Cricetulus griseus: one gene and its partner. Each later gene encodes a partner of the first gene's protein in a complex. Links are inferred from orthologs where the notes say so. Each region holds a gene or a part of one and is shown on either strand. Other genes may lie near its edges.

Region 1 (3,743 bases):
AGCCACCTTCAAGCTGTGACACAGACCTGTCATCGCTCAGCCTGCTGTCCCTTGCTGTGTATTCCAACACACTTGTTTTCTTAAAAAGCTCAACTTAATCCCAATGCAGAGTGACCTACACTTCACCACCTTTCCCTACAGTGAGAGGGTAAGTGTGAGTGTGAGTGTGAGTGTGAGTGTGTGTGAGTGTGTGTGTGCGTGAGTGCGTTGGGGAGAACACTCCAGATCCGGACCTAGAAGGTCCATGAAGAGCACTCCACTCGCAGAACCGTGAGTCAGGCCAGCTAACCTTCAGTGTGTGCACTCTGACCCCGAGTGGATTACCTTTTACCTAGCACTTTCTCCAGCCCGATCTGCTACACTTCCTGGATGAAAACTATCTGAGGAAACTGACTGACTGATGCTTAGGATACCCTGAATATAAAACCACTAGGGATCACTCGCCCCGAGACCAGACAGACCCATCTACATGGAGTTACATGCACACTTTGCGCAGCAGGGAGCGAGCACTCAGGGCCAACCCAAGCGCAGGCGCCCCCTGCGATGTCACACTGCAGTTTAGGTGCAGACTCCCCCTGCATGGCTTTTCTCCAAGTCACCATTTATTAAGTCGGCCCTAACGTCTTCTCCGCCAATCTCCTTTGCAGTTCAAGTTCCCTAGATCCCAATTTATTTCTGATCAACTTTTTTTTTTTTTCTTTCCTTGAACGGGGTCAAGAGCACGGTTCTCAACCACAGGGATCCCAGGAAATGAATTTCCATGACAGTCACTGCCCAATGCACCGCCACCACCCAAGGCCACCATCGCACCCTTTCCTTTAACCTTTCCAGAAATCGCTTTTTTGGGGGGTGGGGAGGGGTGGTGTGGTGTGGGGAGGGAGGGGGCGTTAAATCAATGAGAAGCATCCTCAACTGAAACAAGCGCCGGGGCCTGGCTAGGCCGAGTTAACCCTTTGCGGTCTGGAAACCTCACACCAGAAACGGCCCTGGGAAGTGATGTCAGCGCGGCCCCGGCGGCCCCACCCCCGCCGACCTCAGCCGCCCGGTTCCCCGCGGGAAGCACACGAAGAACCAGCATCTACACTGCGGGAGCCCTCGCCGCACCCACTTAACCCTCGCCTGCCCGGGGCGGGCGGGCGGGCGAGCGGGGGCGAGCCGAAACCGCGCCCCAGACTTTTTAAAGCCAGCGCCAGTCCTCGCTCGCGTCCGCGCCGCCCGCAGCCACCTCCCCTTCTTGGCTCCGCCCAGGCTGGCGCCTCCGCCGGTCCCCGGCTCGCTCGCTCGCCCTCTCTCTCTCTTTGTCATGGCGGAACTGTGTCAAGGAGCCCAACCCAACCCGAGCACCGCCGAGCCGAGAGGGAGGAGCGGTCGGGTCGGGTGGGGTGGGGTGGTGGAGGTGGGGGGGAGGAGGCGGCGGCGAGCGGCTCGCCCTACCCGGAGGGGGCCCCCCGATGCCAGCCAGCGGCGCCCGCACGAGCGGAACCGACGGCGGCCGACCCGCACCGGACACACCCCGCTCTCTCCCTCCCGGGGTCCCCCCTCCCGCCCCCGACAGCTGCGGAGGAGGAGGAGGGGGATGGGAGGGGCCGGGCCCCACCCAGACCGGCGCAGCCCCCGCTCTCCCCGAAGGATGCTCACCTCCCACCCGGCCGGAGACCCCCCTGCGTCCCCGGGGCGCCCAGGCCGAGCCCCTCCCCCAACCACCCACCCACCCACCGAGTGTGCGAGCGTGCGAGCGAGTGAGCCACCGAGAGGGACCCAGGAAGCTCAGCCCCGGGTCCCCGGCGGGAGGGCAAGCGGGAGGGCGAGCCGGCCCCACCCCGGAGACTCGCTCTCTCTCGCGCGCGCGCTACCTGGCTGCCCGCGCGGCGGGGGAGGGGCGGCGGGGGCGCCACGGCGGGGTGGGGGCCGCCTCACCTGCGCCACGGCCCCGGTCCCAGCCGCGGCGGAAGCGGGTGCCGGCGGGGGCGGATGGCGCTCGCCCGCTCGCCCGAGCTTCAGCCCTACCCCCCCCAAACCCGGGAGGGTCTCGCGCGTGGGCGCCTCCTCCGCCACCCCCACCCCCGGGGACACGGGACACGGGCGGACGGGGCGACCAGCACCCCGGCAGGGCCAGCAGCAAGCGGCCCGGGGGCGGCCGTGGGCGCTCGCCCGGGGCTCGGCGGGACGAGCCGCCGCCCGGGTCCAGGATCCTTGGGGACGCCCGCCGCGGCGGGGCGGGCGAGCGGCGGAGGGGCCAGCCCGGGAGGCTGCTCACCTGTGTCCGGAGTGGGTGGCGGCACACGGACCCGGTCGGCAGTGTCCCTGGGCGGCGGCGGCGGCGAGGCTGAGACTCTGTCCCTGATCTGGCTGCTCACAGGCTACAGCGGCTCCGCAGACACGGGGTTTCCTCCAATCACTAGCCCCGGCAGCAGGGGCACCACACGCACAATGACGTCAAACGCTGCTATGGCAACCGTTGATTGGTGCCCGGCGCAACCGCCGCTCCCCCGGCGCGCGCCCGCCCCGCCCACCCGCTCGCTTGCCCGCCCGAGGCGAGCTCAGGGAGAGCGCGTCCCCGACCCTGCCTCCTCCTCCTCCTCCTCCCGCGCGCTCGGCTCGCCCCCGCCGCCCCCGCGAGCCGCCCTCCTTCCTCCTTCCCTCCTCCCTCCCGCGCCGCCCCTGCGGCCCGCGGAAGGAAGCCGCTCCCTCCCCCCTACACCTCTACTGGCGGGCACATCCGGGACCTTTCGCGTCTTCCCCCCCCCCCACCCGCCCCTCCCCCTCCCGGCCGCCCCGGTAATGACGGCGGGCTCTGCGGCCGGGGCATTGTGATCAGAGCCCCGGTTGCGGGGCGGCAGCGGGCGTGGCCGCTTGCTAGCTCGCCCGCTCGCCCACCGCTGCAGTAAAGCGGCCTTAGACCTTTTAAGGCTCGGGCGAGCCGCCCGCTGTCCCTCCTGTCGCCCCGCACAGACCGTGACAGCCAGGGAGACAATGGGGGGTCTCCGGGAGGAGAGGGGAAGGGCTTGTGCGAGCTGGGGGGACACAGGCTCACACAGCGAGCCGATCTCCGGGCGCTGCACTGTTGCCCCCCCCCCCCCACACACACACACAGCCGGGCTTTGACGGGGAGGCTCGTTGTCTCCACTTAACGCTCTCAAAGAGCCTTTTAGGTCCTGGGAGCCACCTTGGGGATACTGGCTGCTCGCTCTCGGGGCCCCCCATCTGACAGTGGGAGGGGGGCCGCTCGCCCGAGCAGGGGCGGGAGCGCCTGGGCCCGGAAGAGGGGGTAGGAAGAGGGCGGAAATTGCAGGTGCCTGCACCCGCAAGGTCTCCACCCAGCAGACGGAAGCGGAGGGAGAAGCATTCTCAGCGTGAAGCGTGTGCCCTTGCGTCCTTTAAACGTGCGTCCTGAGTTGAAGCAAACGCCTTTACCCAGCTCCTGCTGGCTGGAAAAAAGAAAAGGGGGGAAAAAGTATTCAGCCCATAGCTCTCCAGAAGATTCCACGACAAGCTGTTCTTCCCCCAACTCAGTGTCTGTCTGTCGGATACATGGTCTGGTCATAAGCTTGCTCTACAAATGATCATTTCCCTGAAATGGCAGATAGGTAGCTCGAGAGTTGCCTGTGATCGCTTTCCCCTGACCCACCCACCCCGAGTCTGCACATCCACAGATCCACAGCACCGCTAAAACAGATAGATGAGCAAACCGATGCAGGCTCTCATGGAGACTCTTGCAGGGAGTGACTCACTTCGTAGGTGAC
Region 2 (3,743 bases), on another chromosome or scaffold:
GCATGAAACAATGGAGCACTATCCAACTCAGCCCTGAGGGTTTGGGAAAAATCTCTGAGATTGAGTAGTATTAGACCAGATAAAAGGAACAGTCTGTCCAAAAAGCCTCCGGTAAGAAAAGGCATAGTTAGGCATTATACAAGTAGTTTAAAGTCTGAAGAAAGAGTTCAAGATAAGGACACACCCACACAAAATGTCCATGGACACATCTACATGAAATGCCCAGCACATAGATGATAATTCAGTAATTTTAAGATACAAGAGCATATTCAGATTATGAAAAATATGTCCAAGCTGTCTTAGGTGTCTGAAGAGCATTGTAGGTGAGAATTTAAATGAGAAGAACCTTACATGTTAGGAAGATTCTATAAACACATCACTTCTGCAGGGATACCTCTGCTTGAAATGGAAAACCAACCAACCTGAGTAACACTGTGTTAAACTGGAAACACAACACTTTCTCAAGAAGGCAGCCACTTACAACTCTAGTAATTTACTGTTGTGTGAAAATGGCAAGACTGTCTATAACTCAAGAACAAAATAGGAATTCAGCCTATGTGATACTTTTCATTTAGGATAGTGGCAACTAATTACATAAATTAAAAAACAAAACACCACAATGACAGCCAAACAAATGTGTCTGTGAATAGATTTCACCAAGGGCCACCCATGTGGCAGGTTAGAGAGGTCTGCCAACTTCTACAATGCACTTTCCACCACTTCAAAGGGTTCTCAAGTGTTATTTTTGAGCTCCTTGCTTTTAAACCAAATACCCCAAACTGGTAATGTCCTGTGAGGGCTTTTATACATATAAATCAACTCTTCTCTCTCATCTTGTCAAGATACCAAGCTTCAAGCATCTTGAGGCACACTTCTCCACTTCTACAAGCTAAGCAGTCAAGTGTGCAGGTAAACCAATGTAAAAAAAGACGGAGTGAGGCCTCATGGGATCATTAATGAACAAAGTATGCACGACAAGGTGGCCTCTTTGATTTCCATAGAAAAACACCACAGAGGTTTGTAAGCAGTGAGACACTTGAGGATAGAAACCAGTAACCTAAATATGAAAAATAAAAACAAAGTCTTCTGGCAATTTCCACCGTAAGATACCAACAGGGGAAGGGATGAACAGGGCAAAGGAGAAACTAAAAGTTGCTAGCCTTTGAGGACTATGAAACACCTTTCAAAACTCTCTGGTATAATAAAAGCCTCCACACAATGGTACAGTAAACACTCTCAATTCTCAATTGAAACAAAGCTGTATTTTAGCAAAGATAGCTTGAAAACTATTTGAGCAACAAGAAATTTAGATTAAAACTACTGAAAGAGTAAAGCAGTTTTTACAGGTAAGGCAAATGTGAGCAAAAACAATCCGGTTGTTTTAAAATCCACTCAACCACCTCTGTTTCAGATGTCTTACTACAGAATCTACTAAGTAACAATGTTGCTTTGGAAGCTTTTAAGATTTAGTCACTAGCAATCTAAAAAACAAAGGCTAAAAATTCGAAATGCCAAACCAAAGAACAGACTGTTTACAGTGTTGCTTTAGGAGCTTTTAAAATGTAGCAACATTTTCAAAAAAAATTTACTTTAACCTCTGGTAAAATCAAAGTAACACACAAAGACTAAAAATACAAAGCGCCAAACCAAACAAGGGTTCAAAGATTCTCAGACTCCCCAGAAGAACCCATCTGAACACAGTGGCATGTGCATCACCCCTGTAATGGGGCTGGGGGAGTGTCAAAAGGACCGGGAGTTAGTGACTGAAGGCGAGCAAAGCCAAGCAGGCCATGTTCTTGCTGGCAGGCTACCTCGCAATTACTTAGGCAAGCACTGTGGCCAGGGCACTCTCCAGCCAGTAAGAGCGCACTGGACTCCCAAAACGGGAGGCTGACCGCAGCTCGCTAAGACCGAGACGGTAGGCAGTGGCCTTCTTTGACCTCCACGGTAAACCGAGGCTCCTCTAACCGTCGCCTCAGCGCTTGGATTATCGGGGCCAACCCTCCCCAACTGTGTGTGGCCTTCCCACGCACGCCGGGCGGGTGTCAACAGCTGGAGCAGCCGGGCGCGGGGAAGATCGCCGCCTGCACGGTCCTCCCGGGGACCCTGCCGACCAGGGAGAAAGACGGCGGTGCGCGCCCCGCCTCCCCGCTCTCGGCCAGCCCGGCGCGGGCTGCGGCCGGGAGCGGGCTCGGCGCTCCTACCTTTTTCAGCGCCGGCACCAGCAGCCCCCGCCACTTGGGCGCGTTCTCCTCGCTGAAAAACTCGTAGGGCAGCTGCTGCGCCTGCATGGTGCCCGCGGGACGCCTCGGGGCGGGCGGAGGGGCGGCGGCTCGCGGCGCGGCGCGGAGCGGAGCGGAGCAGGGCCGCAGCCCGCGCACAGCCCGGCCCCTTCGGGCGCCGCGCGGCCGGGCTAGCGCTGGCGAGGCGGCTGGGGGCGAGGCCCGCCCACCCACCCGACACGCGCGCCGGTCGCCGAGAACCAACGCAGCCCGACGGTGGCGGCGGCTGCATCCCGCACCACCGCCCCGGGGCAGGCCCCCCGCTCCGCCCCGGGCCGCCCTCCGACGCCCGCAACCGGACTGCGCTCCCCGGCACGGCCTGGGCCGCCGAGAGACGGCGCGTGGAGGGACGCTCTAACCGGTGGCTCCCGCTGGCCTGCGGGGAAGTCGAGCGCGAAGCTCGGAGCGGGGCGGAGCCCGGGGACCGGGGTCGGGCGGAGGCGGGGAAGGGCCGGAGTTCGCTGCTGGGGCCGCCGCCGCCGCCGCCCGCCGCCGCCGCCGCCGCCGCGTGTAGCGCTGGAGCTTCCTAGTAGCAAACTGAACCTGCCCGCGACTGAGCATGCGCCGCCGGCCCAGGCCGGTTCGCTCCGGGTTTTCCGGCTGCCCGCGGATGAGGAGGGGCGCGCGCAAGAGGCTGGGAGGGCACTGCAGGGGCGGGGCCGAGGGACCCTGAAGGCGAACCCGGGACCGAAGGGCCTGGGTGTGTGTGGGGCGGGGGGGGGGTGAGCAGGCAAAACGCCCCCTTTGTGTGGCCCCGTAGGCCCGGAGCCCATGCCGCTCCAGGAGGTCCTAAGACCCTGGGTCTCAGAAAGGGGTGTGTGTACTTTGTTCCCAGCATGAAGATAAGGAGTGCCCTGAGCATGCACTGTATACCAAACAGATAGCACAAAAGATAGGTTCCGTCTCACAAAAACCTCTGCTCAGTATTTGTCCGGTGGGAGGAGAGGTCGTCCTGTTTCCCTCGTCCTTTCCATAACATGAAAACGTGTATGTGTAGTAGTCATTGATCGCGTCTACTCAAACCCACAGGCCACATTTACGGGCTTAGTCCACCCTGCTTTGTATCTTTCACGGCTTCAGTTGGATAATTAGCTTCTGAAAGGAATGGTTTATTTTTTCTTCTGGCACACGACCCAGAATAGAGACATGAAGATCCCGGAACGCTGTAGAAGCAGTATCTACAAATTGTCCTTCCATCCCAGGGATGCAGATGTTTGTGACAGTGGCATTGTGCAACACTGTGGCACGTTATGCTTTATCATTGAACGCTTTCCGAGTAAAGTGTTTTAGTTCTCAGAGTTTTAATTTCATAGTTGAGAAGACAGTTCGAAGAACCAGCCTGGGCTCAAACTGACATTATGTCCTGCTGTTTTGGAGTACAATAAACAAGATCTCACAGATGAAACATGTTTGAAACCAGTGTTCTTAATCTTTAGACGATCTCCTAGAATCTGGATGAAG

Evidence for each region. Proteins that work in one complex are often made in the same cells at the same time.
Region 2: the proteins of Ywhaz (region 1) and Sos1 are in contact, whole or in part, in a crystal structure (PDB 6F08), measured with the Homo sapiens proteins. The link is inferred for Cricetulus griseus from reciprocal best matches to the Homo sapiens genes YWHAZ and SOS1. Residues at the interface, in NP_001129171.1 of Homo sapiens: Glu14, Asn38, Asn42, Ser45, Val46, Lys49, Arg56, Arg60, Phe117, Lys120, Arg127, Tyr128, Ile166, Gly169, Leu172, Asn173, Val176, Glu180, Asp213, Leu216, Ile217, Leu220, Asp223, Asn224, Leu227, Trp228; in NP_005624.2 of Homo sapiens: Arg1157, Arg1158, Pro1159, Glu1160, Ser1161, Ala1162, Pro1163, Ala1164, Glu1165, Ser1166.

Annotation. Positions count from the first base shown.
Region 1 is NC_048603.1:14,723,562-14,727,304, reverse strand, and holds the start of Ywhaz (14-3-3 protein zeta/delta), read right to left. Parts: upstream 2,398-3,743; 5' UTR 2,258-2,397; intron 1-2,257.
Region 2 is NC_048600.1:3,606,422-3,610,164, reverse strand, and holds the start of Sos1 (son of sevenless homolog 1), read right to left. Parts: upstream 2,386-3,743; 5' UTR 2,292-2,385; coding exon 2,205-2,291; intron 1-2,204.